Arabidopsis thaliana: one gene and its partners. The protein of the gene in region 3 interacts with the protein of the main gene of each other region in a biochemical or structural test. Each region holds a gene or a part of one and is shown on either strand. Other genes may lie near its edges.

Region 1 (4,720 bases), on a different chromosome or scaffold from region 3:
TGTCTTTGATATATTAGATCACTGTTAAAGGTGTGCGACCTGCAACAGAGTGGTCTTTTCCCGATCAAGTTAACATTTAATAACAACGTACAAAATGTATGACATAAAAAAGTGTTTTGACTAACGACTAACAGCGATACGACTAACAGTGGTTCAACTTGTGCTTGGCTTCGACTAACAGACGCTTCGACGAAATGTGAAGTAAAAACAATAATTGTTCAAGTAATATTCATACTTCGCCTAAAACGGTTTTTATATAAGCTTTTTTTAAATAAAGTGTGATTTTTGCACTTGCCTTTAAATGCGGAATTGCGGAAGTGTTTTCAAGTGTTACGAATAACTATGTTTTGACTAAAATGTTAGGAGTAATTTGCCTGACTAGTTTAGGAGTACGTGTTCGTGATTTAATATTGTGTTCAACAGTATAACTAATGTACTTCACTAAGTATGCTTTGTTTAGAAGTATGCTTGGAAATATATGTTTCGACTTTTAAGTAAATTGATCTAGTGTTTTACGTGTGTTCGGATTTAGATATAAGTTTTTTGAGTAAGTGCTTCGACTAAATTTTGGCTAAAGGGATTTTGTTGAATTAATTAAGTGTTAATGTAATTTTAAAGACGTAAGAAAATACACATTTATTAGTCGTGTGTGTATCTTGTTAAATGTGTTTTTTTTTGGTTGAATGGTTCAGTGCTACGACTTTGACTATTTTTTGTTGAAAATAATTTGGTGTTTACTAAGTATGTTTCAACTATTTTAATTTTTTAGTTGTGAGTTTTAATTAAAAGTTCCGCATCATATCTTTTTTTAAGAAAATATTTTTTAGTTACTGAGTGTTTTACTACTAAATGATATAGTGTTTATGAGTGTGTTATTAAAGTAGAATTAAAAAGTTTACACTAGAAAGTGTTTCGAGTGATGAGTATTTCGACTAAAAAGTGCTTCAATTATTATTGATAGTAGTTGATTTTTGGAAAGGATTGAAAACTAACCTGGCGGAAATTGCAATTCATGTTTATGCTTTAGCTCTCTAAGTAGTGGATATTGTTGTTCGCTTGTTGAAGCTTTGTCCTCCTCATCAGAATTAATGATCCCTCGCAAAAAATATTATATCTTGATTAAAAACATTATTAGGACTATTATCAAATAAATAATAACGAAAATAAAAGATTCATGGTTTAAATTAAGGCATTGCACCGTATTCATTTGTCAACATATAAGTTTTAAACGAAGTATCAACAATACGAATAACATAGAAATCAAAATCCAACATGGGTCAAAACAAAGTACTAAGAGCCAAGAAGAGTAATTCCGACTAAAAACACCCAAACAATACAACAAGAAAGAAACTGGAAATTAAAGTACATAGAGACAGAAAGGTAATGTACAAAGGTTTTACATAGACACAGTTTTCGCTTTTCACCGTAAAGTAAAGTACAAAGTAACTCACCGATGATTGGCTGAGTTTTGCCGCCGAAGATGAAGAGAGAATCAGACAACAAGAGACAAAAAGAGAATAGGTTTCTATCTACATGTCTTGGTTTGGATTAGATAATTTAGGAGTAACGAGGACTGTGTTGTGTGTATTACTATATATAGACAAGTTTTCTTTACCGTTGGGTAAAATCACTAACGGATAGTTTTCGAATTCTCAGCTTTTGACGTCATAGTTACCGTTCTGACATCCTCAACGGCTAACTCACAGTGAACCTACTACCTAGTTCGCTACTTTAAAGTCGTATTATTCTTGATGGGCTTTCGAGATCGGCCCAACCCAATGAAATGTTTAAAGTTTTACAAGTCCAATATAAAATGACAAGCTTAATGGATAAACTGGATTTGGTTAAGGTCCATTATAATAAATATGGGCCTCACATATAAATGGCTTTGATGGACCAATAAGCCCGGAAATCTGAGAAAATCTATGTAATATTCGAAAACTGTTGGGAAAAATCAATAAATAAGTAGAACTTTAGGGAGGGTTAGCAATAAACAAAGGTTGCGGGAAAATACGTAAAATAAAAGCTAATATATTATTTGATTCGTCCAGAGTTGAATTTTAAAGATAGAGAAAGGAAATCGAATTAAAATCTTCGTCAGATTCGAGAGACGACGACGACGAACTTGTTGTTCTCGATTATCATCAGCAGCTCCCTTCAAAAACCCTAACTCTCTGAGCTCGATCGACAAGTGATAATGGCCAACAGTAATTTGCCGCGAAGAATCATCAAGGTTTGTTTTCCAATCTCGATTTGATTCCTTGGACAAACTCTACCGATCTCTGTTTCTATCGGAGTCTCTTAACTTTTGTTTTCCTTGCGATCTGATAGGAAACTCAACGTCTGCTCAGTGAACCGGGTAAAAAACTCTTTAATTCGTCCTGCCTTGTTGAGTTATAGTGTTGATTTTGAGATGATAATATCAATTTTGATGGTTGAATTGTGGATCCGAGACGTGACCGTCCATGGAGTTTGGAATTTGGTTGTAGAGTAAGATTTAAATCTGATTATAACTTCGATTGATTTGATTGGTGCAGCTCCCGGTATAAGTGCCTCTCCATCTGAGGATAATATGCGGTATTTCAACGTTATGATTCTTGGTCCTACACAATCACCTTATGAAGGTAGTCAAATAGTCTTCTGATAATCCGAGTATTAGATTTTTTGCTTTGAGAGTACAACATGTTTATGTCAAGCAATGATTGCTAATGCTCTTGTATCTTGTTTGTGACACTAGCTAGTGTTAAGTATAGTCCTGAATATACATACACAACTGTACTTAGTTTTATTATTAACACATTCGATTTGTTCTGTTGCGTACCAGATGCTAAGTTTAAAACTTGTACCTTTTTTCTTTTTCTCCTTTGAATATGCTCTCTCTTAAAATTTTAACTTTTTACTGAGTGATAGATTCCATCTTATAGGAGGAGTTTTCAAGTTGGAGCTCTTTTTGCCTGAAGAATACCCTATGGCAGCTCCCAAGGTAAGTCATTTGACTATAAGTAGTGTCAGCTATAAGAATCTAGTTATTAAGCGAATATATTGGTTTGGTATTTATTTGTACACATACCAAATGGTCTCTGAGATCCATGATTCTGGTTGGATTATGAGTGACGTACATGTAATGTCATATTTCTTGTCATTGTTTCTCTTTTCATATGGATATAGTTCTTGAACGTTTGATTTTTTGTAAATGGTTTGTGTAGAGCATTTCTCTATTCTCTAATGACTCTATTAATGATTTAATCTGTTACAGGTTAGGTTTCTCACAAAGATATACCATCCTAACATTGACAAGGTCTGTTCCAAATCCCTCCTCTTTTTCCTTTGTCATCCACACAACCAAAGACATGCTCCTAAACTTGTGTCTATTTGAGCAGCTTGGAAGAATCTGTCTTGATATTCTCAAGGACAAATGGAGCCCTGCACTACAAATACGAACAGTGCTCTTAAGGTATATGAGCTGATTACATAAGATTATTTCCTGCTAAAAACTATTGGTTTCTTGGAGCTTGACTTCTGCTCCTATTTTATTAACGTGTGCAATCCTTATAAAGTATTCAAGCTCTTCTGAGTGCACCAAACCCAGATGATCCGCTTTCTGAGAACATTGCTAAGCACTGGAAGAGTAATGAGGCAGAAGCTGTGGATACAGGTGATGTGATTTTAACACTGAATTTAAACTTGTTACAATATCTTTCTACTCTTTCTTTCTTTCTTTCTTTCTAAACGTTGTGTTAGTATCTCACATCCTTGTGAACTATATCTGTGCAGCTAAGGAATGGACCCGTCTTTATGCAAGCGGCGCATGATAAATTGGAGGGTGAAAACTGAAAAGATCTCTTTCATCCAAATAACATTACATTTGCTGAAATCTATCTCAACATCAAAGTTATAAGAAAGCTTATATTTTGCTGGTTATTTCCCCCCGCCACTGCTCTGTAATCTCTCTTAATCACACTGTATCATTACTCCTAGGATCAATACTCGTTCTTATATTTGAAGTTCGTCAAAGTCTTTTGAGTAAAAAATATCTATATTTCTCTAGTGTCTAAGCTCTGTAAATTCTAAGTTTCATCAAAATCCATAGGTTACTTACTGATCATTGTTGGAATTTACTTCTTTTACAAATTGGCAGTGATGTAGAGAGAGTTTGTAATTTATATACATTTCCCCGATGAGGTGATTCTGTTGTATTTTTGGAAAGAGTTGATCTCAGGAAGAAACAATAAGGAGGAAATAATAAATACAATCCACATGCAACGGGAACATTCCAAACTAAAAAGATAATCCCCATTACATTAGATCACAAATTAGGTCGAAAAAAGAATAACTAGCAGAGCTTTACAAATTACAAACCATAAGGCAAAGAAGAGTGCCCACAACACAAATTAAGTTGTAGAAAAGAAATCCACATCCATCATCATCATTATCATCCTAATGTAATAATAACTCGATATAAAAAATAAGAAATATTAAAAGAGAGAAGAAAAAGAAAACACTACCATAAACCACCAACCAAAGGAATCATCATCAGTAGAGAGCGAAAAGGCCACCAACCAAGAACACATTTCAGATTTCATGAAAAATATTAATGAAGCCGAAGTGGAGCAGTGAAATTTTCGTCTACCAACCGTGGAAGAAGAAGGAAAAGAAAGACTTCCACTACTACTGCATCAGACAGGAATTGCATCTACGTTCGATGAATCTTCGCATCTCA
Region 2 (3,812 bases), on a different chromosome or scaffold from region 3:
GAGATTGCAGTTGCAGCCATCGCTAAATTGAAGTGAGAAAGAGAGGAGAAGAAGAGTTGTTGTTGTTGCTATGTTTAATCAGAAGAGTTCTCAAGTAATAGCCATTGGAAGGATGATGATGGCTCTGGTTGGATCTTCTGAGTTTCGACTTTCGAGTGGCTTATCCAACTCCACGAGATGTCGGTAGTGTGACACGTGTCCCTTGTCTGTCCACGTTAGGATTAGGCCCATTTACTTTGGATTTTGCTAGAGCTCGGTCCATCTAATAAAAGCCCATAAATAAATGCAGCATATATCACATGTACATAATGTTGCTCTCTGTTTCATTATCAATTGTACAAACTACAAAGTCCGTTTATTCATGCTCAAGATTCATCAGAATTCAACTCGTTAGTACATTGATCGTTTCCAAAAATGTCTTACGTCGAATTAGACATATGTACTTAAATCTTATTTAGGTTTTGATCTTCTTCTTTTTTTCAGTTAAAAGGGTTATTGATCACTTCTCACTCTCTTTCTATGGAATAAGATGAACTGATGAAGTACAAACACCAAATACTTAAGTTTTATATGTGAAAATGATTGACCCCATTAGATTCATAGTCACCGATCAAGAAAAAAATGATGGTCGAAAATAGAATCTAAAATGTGGAAGATGACAAAAACTGTCTCCACCCAAAAAAAAAACACAAGCTAGATCAGTCATACAACTAAGCATATCTATATTCTAACAAAGGTCCTAAATTGTATCAGAAGAAGAGTTTTGTGTGGCGTCAAGATCGTCCTTATGGTTAGAAATGGGAAAGTGGTAATCATCCCATAGAGGGCTTCCAGGTCCCCATTCCTCTGGAATTGCATTGAACCATGCCTCAGCCCAACCCGTCTCCTCACTCACCCCTCCTACTGCCAATGCCGTGCTCGAATCATCCTCTCCTCTTCTGCTTGAGTCTTCACTAGTAGTCCCCGTCTCACATTGTTTCTGATGCACGGGAGTTGGCTCTTGTTTATTGAGAAAAAGTTCAGGGAAATTGAGCCTAGCGGTCTCTCCCCTCAACTTGAAGGCCTCGCGGTCGTAGGCCATGGCGGCTTCTTCTGCTGTATCGAATGTCCCTAGCCAGAGACGTGTCCTGTTTCGTGGCTTACGGATCTCGGCAACCCATTTTCCCCAGTGGCGTTGCCTGACACCTCTATATAGCTTGGTGGCGCTGAAGGGTTGAACCGGTGGCCTCGTCAGTGGCAGATCGCTTTCTTGTCTTAACATGTTCATCATCATCATTCTTCCGCTCGGACTCAGCTTCAGAATGTCTCTCCAGTACTGCAATAGATGTTGTTGTTGTTGCTGCTGTTGTGCAACATATGGTTGCACCTGTTGTTGAGGATCAAACGAGATCATTTGTTGCTGTCTTTGTCCTGAAGGGTCATTCGGGTGTAAAAATCGTTGTTGATTTTGAATCGCTGGAGGGAGGTAAAAGGGAAAAGAGACAGAGCATGTAGTTGTTGTTGGCGGCTGAGGAGTAGCATAAGAAGATACGAGATAGGGATTATGTCGGTCAAAGGTTCTAGTCTTCCTAAGACTTCTTGGAGACGTAGAGGAAGCATCTCCTAACCACATGTCCGAGCCAGGACCCGAATCTTTATACTTGCCGCTACTAAACTGGAACTCCTCCTCCAACTCCATCTCATCCTTTTTCTCTGCTTCACTGGTACCAAGGACCCTGATTGATTTTCCCTTGTTCTTAGCAGTAGCCATAGAGAAGAGGAGTCAACGACGATGTCCTCTTTTGTCTTTGAGAAAACAGAGCAAGAGCGGGAGAAACAGAGAGATTTGTTGTGTGGTTATGAAATATTTTCCCCACTTTTATATCAGAACCGGTGGGGCTTAACTAAGATGTTGACATATATCACTAAGCAAAATATCTCAAGCCCTCTCAGGACCGTACTTGTGTTTCTTTTGGACGGTGGAACATTCTTTATTTTTCTACTTAATTATTACAAATACATTGTTGATAGTATGCACATCGTTGATAGTATGGTCGGCTAACCGCGGCTAAGGATGACATGCAATGAGAATGAGATTGAAGCAATTGATTGCGACGTAACGTGTATTTTAATTAGGCTTGTTATCATCATCTCTCGAAGGTTAGCGATTTGTCGTCAAAGTCAGCTTTGACTTTGTTTTTTTTTCTCTTATTTTTCTGTATACCCCACCTACAAAAGACATAAACAAAACCGACCAAACTTGAAACACACAAATTAAAAAAAGCTTATATGATAGTATAAGTTATATCTCATCCAACTTAACGTATCAACTAACTCAATAGAAAAAGAATGTACCCTACCCATGTCAGTATCACCATACATTCATAATATATATAACTTCTTTTAGAATTTATTTAAATTTTGGATGGCTGTTTCGATACATAACCTTCTAATAAGAAGTGTAAAGGCAGGCGTAAAAAAAGATTCGACCTTAAAAAGTAATTAATTTCAAGTCACATGAATAATAATTAAAATGATGTAATAACAAAATAACGAAAACATCTAAATAATGCTAAATAATTATAAAACGCTAAAAATACATCGTTTTTAACTATATTTTTAATAAATGTATTCAGAAATATTAAATTATTTTTCCAATACGATAAAATTAGATAAATGTTATGGATTTTCTTATCATTCACAACAAGGAAAAACTCTTGGATGGTAAACTGAATGGACTTTCAAGGGTTGAAAAATGGAATGTTTTCTGAAGCAGACCGATTTTATACAAGCCCCTCAATTCGCATTAGTAAAACCGATGTCTCCTTGCATAATATGGATTCCAAATATGTTATAATGTCTATTGACATGAAGAACTTAGAAACCTTGGTACATATTAAGATGACGTGGACGCAAGGAGGTGCCAAGGTGGGAGGCTGAAGTCTTAAACTTTCGGCAGATAAAGATAAACAAACTCCAAAACAAAACAAAACAAAAAGAAAACAAAGACAAGGGAAAAGGTTCGTGTTAGAAGAAAAAGTCAACAGCTTAAAGCTTAAAAAGTCGGTGAATGAATGGGTCAGCTCTCTCCACTTTCATTATCTCTCTATGCTCTATCTCTCCAATCATAAAACTTGCTATTCCAATTAAACTTATACACTATCCATTAGTATTTTATGTAGTATTCTTATTAAGATATTTTAACGTGGTCCATCATTCTACTTAATAAGTTTTTCTCTTCTTTTAAATTTATTGGCAGCAGTTTGAGAAAACGATTAGATTGATTAAGAATGCAACGAATGTCAAATCCCAAACCATTATCTTATACCAGTTATATTATGAGTGCTTCATATTTATATATTAACTTGCCAAAGTTTTGAAGATTATACTATGAAGGCTACTCAAAGGGACATTGATTCCTAGAAGATGATTTTATGATGTTAAGCCGTTGACTTTGGTAACTAAATCATTTGACCTTTGATGTTTCTGCCCCCTTTAGCAAATAGAAACTTAATAAGAAAATTTTCATTGAAATTTAGCATCCCAAAGAAAGGTGTAGAAAAGTTATAGTGTAATGTGATTGGTGAGGTGCATGTTCGACACTCTTCAAATGTTGATTGAAACTTTTTTTTGTGTGCAAAGTTGATTGAAACTTTAATATTTTTTCATTAATCGCTTAAAGTGTAGTAGTGTCAAAATATTGAGATGTCAAGTATAGAACATACTATCATTTTCAAAACAATTGTGCAATTTCAGTATAATCAGTATTTAAATCATTAATAACCTCATGTGTAATTAACTCTATTATATTATCGATTTTAAAACACAAGCCC
Region 3 (5,851 bases):
CTTTTTCCAATTTATCCCCCCCCCCTACAATAAATGGTTTTCTATAAATCTGTGAGGATATCACTGAAATATATGTGATACTTATAAAAAAATGATGAAATATTTTGCTCTAGACGAATTGGTACCGTCATTCTACAAATTAAATCTACATTTAGAATGCAATGCCCCTAATATTTATTTTCTAAAAAACTGAAATGCGGTCTAAAATCTCAGGTACAATAATACACATAGAATAGTTTATTGTTTTTAGCGTAAGTTGGATTAGCATGGAACTAACATATATATCTCTGTTACTGAAGTAAGGTACGAGGTTAGATGATTTGTACCATTGTGAGGTATATAGCTACCACTTTTTCGGACAGCATGTGATTTGTATAGTATAGCTAATACGGAGGCTCTTTATATGAAAGAAAAAGTAGATGTATTTCTTATGATTTTCTCAATTTTCAAATAACCAAATTATAAGAATCAAAATTTATTTGAACAAAGAAAGAAGGAAAAAAAAAGACATGGGCACATGAATAACAATTTTTTTACTCCAAGCAAAGAAGAAAGATAGAAAGAAAGAAAGAAGTCAAAGGTTTTGGGACAAGATGAAGTTAGGAAAGTGAGTAAACGAACAAGCATTGTTTTTTTCTTTATACAAAAGATCCGATCTTTCTCGGAGAAATTTCAGTGATTAGATTCAAACTAAATTCCCAAAAGAAGTTGAAAGAAGATGAAAGAGAGAGAAGGGTCGTCGATGTCTGGTCTACTTGTTTGTTAGTAGAGCTTTATTCTTGTCTGGATTGGTGCACGGCAAATCGGACACATTTGAAGATCTGGTCCACACTCGCAACAAGTCTTGTATCAAAAACAGAAGCCAAGTTAGTTTGATGTTTTGATCGATTAAGTAGATGCAGAAGATGGAAATTGTGTTTGTTTCGATTTTACCTGATGGCCACAACCAAAGGCCATGTCTTTCGGGTTGCTCAAACAAATCGGACATAGCTGTTCAAAAGATCCAATAACATCAAGTTTTGAACTTTTTCAAATAACGTTTCAGACTGATTAATTTCCAAGTATATTTCTGATTTTAGAAGTACCTGGTTATCAGAAGCAGAGCTTGTAGGGGGTGGGACGGGACTAGACCTTACGTGATAGCCTTCAGTTGGATGAGGAGGAACACTCGGTTTGAAACTTGGAAGACGTGAAGGCTTTGGACTGTTGTAGGACGATGATCCACCGCGCATTGGAGGCGGAAGAGGGAATCTCTCCGGGATATATCCATTTCTTCTTCTGCGGAAAAAGTTAAAAGGGTAAGGAAAAAGTTGACAACTTTGGGATGAAAATTGATAAAGATTATGTTTGGGGATTTACCCTAAAAGGTTAAGCTCTATTGTCGCCTTGTATTGTTGAGGAATCTCCATGAGAGCAGAAAGGGCAAACTCTGTTTCCTTCAAGGATTGAGCTTTGTTCTTTGCCATGATCTCTGTGAAGTTCACGAACTAGAAACAGAACATCAGATTAAAACACCAAACTAACTTCGATGTTATTAGCTAGAAAGAAACTTACTTGGAAGTTATCAAACGCTCTGGCCGGAATATTATCGTCAAATTCCCTCATCATGTCCCAAGGTCCATCCCCCACCCCGACTAAGACGATTGATAGAGGAAGCTTACTGTCACAGAGAAAAAGTTCACATCAGAAAAGCCAGCCAAAAAGAGATATAACTTCAATGGAGAGAACAATGTCAAAAGATTGGACAATATTCCAACCTCGCTTGCACGATCGCATCTACCGTCTTCTGTTCTTGTGGACTTAACTGTCCATTTTCCGTGTCAACACTTCTTGTAACCTGAAATGGTTCATTGAGGTTTCTTCTTTTGACACAAAAACAAAGGTTCATAACATCATACTGGTTTTATTCGTACCTGCCCATCTGCTATTATCACTAGGACGTGATATTGCCCACCACTCTGCTCAACAATGGTCATGGCCATATCGATGATCGGAGCAAAGGAGGTTGGCCCTGCAGAAGTATTCAACATTCACATTTAAGAATTTAGCTAGCATTTCATGAAAATGCGGCCAAATAAGGAAAAGAAATAAACCTGCAAGCTTAAGTTGAGGCACGATCTCCTTATACCGGGAAAGTACTTCCTCAAATCCATTACAGAATCTATCCTCTGAATTGAAACTGAACACGTCTTGATCATGTGTTGATGCATCTCCAAAACCATAACATGGAATCAAGTTGTCCTCGTCAAAGGCGGCTAAGGTTCTTCCTATGATAGTTATCGCTTGTTCATAAGGATTGGGACTACTGCCTATGAAGTGTAAGCTTTTCCTATTGAAGGACCTGGCCCCTGTTATCAAACAAGCAAAGTATGATTTTGAGAGTGAAACCATTTGATGCATTACACAAAGACAGAATCTAGAATCTCACCAACCTGTCCATTCGTTACTCTTAGTGAAATCAATACCAACGATGAGATTTGAAGATTCTAGACCCGCCCGTGCAAGAGCCTCCGTCACCTAAAACGAAAACAGAACATAATGTGAATCTTTTCTGTCAAACCCATGAGAATCTACAGTTTTCAAGTTTTGTAATCATCAAAGAACACACACTAGATTCCACTAAAAACCAACGCGAGACTCAGCTAACCTGCTCCAAAGAAGAGTAATCATCAGAAATTTTCGAATACTTGCGCTCCAACCTCTTCTTATTATCACTACCATAACTTTGAGAAGGCGGTGCAGAATAAGACGGAGCAGAGTAAGGCTGAGTACTATATAAAGGAGGAGGAGGTTGCGTATACTCAGGAGGTTGGGCATAAGAAGGTGGAGGAGGGTAATTATAGCTTTCTGCACCATACTGAGGATAACTTTGTTGAGAAGCCCATGAAGATGAAGATGGTGATGCTGATGAAGCAGAAGTTGACCTAAACGATGACTGTCTCCAGTTTTCTTTAGAATTCCCTGTCCCCATCAAACTTAACAAAAAACTAAACCTTTTTAGATTCAAATCAAACCTCTCAGGTCAGTTCCGTACCCTGCAAAACAAAGATTTAGCCTTTAGAGTATATTCATGAAACCCCAGAAAAAAAAAGCAGAAACTTTGTTTAAGATTCTGACATTATTAGAAGATGCAATTTACCTATACCTAATTCGTTAAGAAAAGGTGAAAGCTTTATCTTTGACAGATGTTGAATTATCTCACCGCTCTTTAAAATCGAAGGTTGGTAGAGATGTTTATATAAAGAAAGGAGATTCAATCACGTCACGTAATTTTCCACAACAATACGCGATTTAGTGACTTCTAGATTAAGATAAAAGTCCTATTACGAAAACCTACTCCAACACTCTAACCCACAATAAGTAAAACAAACAAAAACCAGTTTCTGACAAATCTACGAGCTTTCCAATTTCGCCGAATTGAACTGAAACATTCTCTGATTCATCAAACCAAAGACTACCCCAAAATCGAAAAATAACATTAATTCGAGATTGAATCTCCCGACATTCATCAGAAAATGACCCAATTCGATTGAGAGGAAAAGTTGTCTACCTTTAAACTAAACGAAGCAGAGGAATGACGAATCAGAGAAGTACTTTGAGAGAGAGTCAGAGGAGCTTCAATGGCGGATCGAATACTAAAGAGTTCGCCTTTAAAGTTTCCTCCTTTTGTTCGAAAGCAATTTCACTTTTCTTCTGTTTGTTGTATTTGGTTTGTTTCTATGAAATCATTAGGAGACTAATCACTTTTCTGTTTTTAAAAAAGTGTGAAGCACGCTAATGGTGGAAACTTCTTCTAATTTTACCCCACATTTTATTCTCTCTTCCAACAATTGGCCCTATAATATTATTATCGATATCCAAAGTCATAACATGGTATCAATTGACAATTTCTTTTGATTACTTGAAATTCTTAAATTGACCATTTCTTAAAAAGTACAAATAGTCAATAACTAAACTAACATTTTTTAATTCCAAATTTTTAATCTAGAGGATTGTATTATACATATGTAAATTATATGAATAAAAAATACTTAAAGAAGGAAAACATAATCAATAATTAGTTTAAAAAATTGCAACTCAGAAGTTTAGAAATGATGTATCATATAAATAGGACTGCCAAACAAAAAAAACTTCTTCTGTATGATTTGGGCAAATACTAATAGTATAATAACAATGCAATAAATACCTTTGGGGATGAAATGGATGGTTATCAGAAGTTTCCGACCACGTGACAATCCTATCCTATCTTCAATATCTTTCCTTCGTCGTGCGGTTAAATTGTCAATGTTCCTTAACTACGTCAATTTTTTCCCTTTTCGGATTTACTCGATAGGTACTGTTGAATATTGCACCTTGTAGACTACAAATATTGAGAGTTTGACTTTTAAATTATCATCCATTCGTCTTCTTTTTTCTTTGCTCGAGAGTTCTCGCTCATGATGCACTCATGCTTATAATTGATTAACCTTTTTTTCTTCTTGTGTGCAAATTATTGATTAACTAAAGTTGTCTTAATTTCAGTATAAAAGTTTTTGCTTCCTTCGGTGAGCAAGACACAACACGTGAAACTTAAATGGACTTACATTAAAGTATGAAACTTCGTACCCGTGATTTATGCTACTCTTTTTTTTCTTTCTTGGACAGTTCCTTCAAGGAGCAAACAAGAAATACGTGGACTGCACTTTCAAACCAAATAATTATAGAATAAAATCGTATTAGTTCCTCTATATAGTTCATAAAAGCATTTCGAATCTAATGGACTGGAGTAAACTAGAATAACGAATGTTAATATGCATTATATAAGTGTAATACTGACTAGTGAACGCCACGACATTCTTAATATCCATTATATAAATAATAAATGTAACACAAACCACTATATTCATGGTTGAATAACAAATGTATTTATTTTCTTAACATTTACACCAAAAAAATTAAAACAAATGTTACCTGAAGAAGATTCACTGAACCTAGTAATTAATAAGTACTCTCCATTTTGTTTGGTCAACTTATTCATATACTTTCCATAATAGTATAGGAACATTAAAACTGAATTGAAATCAAAGAAATCTATTGATGATTTATTATCTTCTACAATTGAATGTGTTCGAGTGTTTGACCGTTTCATAAAAATATATAAAAGTTACAACTATAAGATACAAAAACTAAAAATCGAAAACACAAGTATAAAGCCCAATAAGAAACTATATAAAGCCCAATATTATTCTTTAAAAGCACATGTATGCTACCTACAGGCCCATTTAGTTTTAACCGCGTGTTTTAGTTAAGGAGCATAGAAACAACCCTAGTCCTTGCCACAGAGGATCACAGCTAACCAAATATTCCCTTGCACGTAAAATCCGACACTGGTCTATTTCGTCGTCTTCGACCTCGAGGGAATCTACTGTAGCTCTCACACTATCCACTCTTCATCGGCAGCTAGATTTCCGGGTCCTCAGTATCGGGTCAGATCTAGATCCGGATCCGGAGACGCTGAGAATGAAACACTTCAGAACTGAGCGAGTCCGTGCGACTCCGAAGCTCTTCACCTACGTTCTCGTCGGTTTCATCGCTCTACTCGGCTTGACTTGCCTCTACTACGGCTCTTCGTTCGCTCCCGGATCCAGAAAGTCCGATGAGTTCGATGGATCTAATAACCGCGTTCGCACCGGAATCGGATCCTTGAGGAATCGAGATATTGTGCTTGCAGTGAGCCGTTTCGAAGTTCCTAAAAGTGTTCCGGTTCGTGAATCGAATCATTTGTTTCGAATTGAGTAGAGATGTCTAGATTTTTAGTGTTCAAGTTAAGATTTGTGTAGATTAGCTCGTTGAATTTAGGTTTCTCATGTAG

Evidence for each region.
Region 1: of the proteins of RGLG2 (region 3) and UBC35, one has a biochemical effect on the other in vitro, tested with the Arabidopsis thaliana proteins (one study listed by BioGRID).
Region 2: of the proteins of RGLG2 (region 3) and ERF53, one has a biochemical effect on the other in vitro, tested with the Arabidopsis thaliana proteins (one study listed by BioGRID).

The regions. Positions count from the first base shown.
Region 1 is NC_003070.9:29,648,392-29,653,111, forward strand, and holds UBC35 (ubiquitin-conjugating enzyme 35), read left to right. Parts: upstream 1-1,984; 5' UTR 1,985-2,197; coding exon 2,198-2,233; intron 2,234-2,331; coding exon 2,332-2,359; exon of another isoform or gene 2,360-2,537; coding exon 2,538-2,624; coding exon of another isoform or gene 2,625-2,627; intron 2,628-2,924; coding exon 2,925-2,983; intron 2,984-3,256; coding exon 3,257-3,298; intron 3,299-3,380; coding exon 3,381-3,454; coding exon of another isoform or gene 3,455-3,467; exon of another isoform or gene 3,468-3,557; coding exon 3,558-3,655; intron 3,656-3,774; coding exon 3,775-3,812; 3' UTR 3,813-4,220; downstream 4,221-4,720. Other genes in the region: AT1G78880 (Ubiquitin-specific protease family C19-related protein), read right to left, coding at 4,677-4,720. UniProt on the Arabidopsis thaliana protein: Catalyzes the synthesis of non-canonical poly-ubiquitin chains that are linked through 'Lys-63'. This type of poly-ubiquitination does not lead to protein degradation by the proteasome. Mediates transcriptional activation of target genes.
Region 2 is NC_003071.7:8,983,991-8,987,802, reverse strand, and holds ERF53 (Integrase-type DNA-binding superfamily protein), read right to left. Parts: upstream 1,845-3,812; 5' UTR 1,751-1,844; coding exon 740-1,750; 3' UTR 501-739; downstream 1-500. Other genes in the region: photosystem II reaction center PSB29 protein, read right to left, coding at 1-20. UniProt on the Arabidopsis thaliana protein: Transcriptional activator involved in abiotic stress tolerance. Can directly regulate stress-related gene expression by binding to the DNA sequence 5'-[AG]CCGAC-3' (DRE element) of their promoter region.
Region 3 is NC_003076.8:4,647,593-4,653,443, forward strand, and holds RGLG2 (RING domain ligase2), read right to left. Parts: upstream 3,851-5,851; 5' UTR 3,551-3,850; intron 3,285-3,550; exon of another isoform or gene 3,036-3,284; 5' UTR 2,972-3,035; coding exon 2,648-2,971; intron 2,518-2,647; coding exon 2,433-2,517; intron 2,349-2,432; coding exon 2,094-2,348; intron 2,012-2,093; coding exon 1,914-2,011; intron 1,838-1,913; coding exon 1,758-1,837; intron 1,661-1,757; coding exon 1,555-1,660; intron 1,488-1,554; coding exon 1,360-1,487; intron 1,279-1,359; coding exon 1,086-1,278; intron 991-1,085; coding exon 934-990; intron 844-933; coding exon 763-843; 3' UTR 519-762; downstream 1-518. Other genes in the region: AT5G14430 (S-adenosyl-L-methionine-dependent methyltransferases superfamily protein), read left to right, coding at 5,500-5,742. UniProt on the Arabidopsis thaliana protein: E3 ubiquitin-protein ligase that mediates the formation of 'Lys-63'-linked ubiquitin chains. Regulates apical dominance by acting on the auxin transport proteins abundance.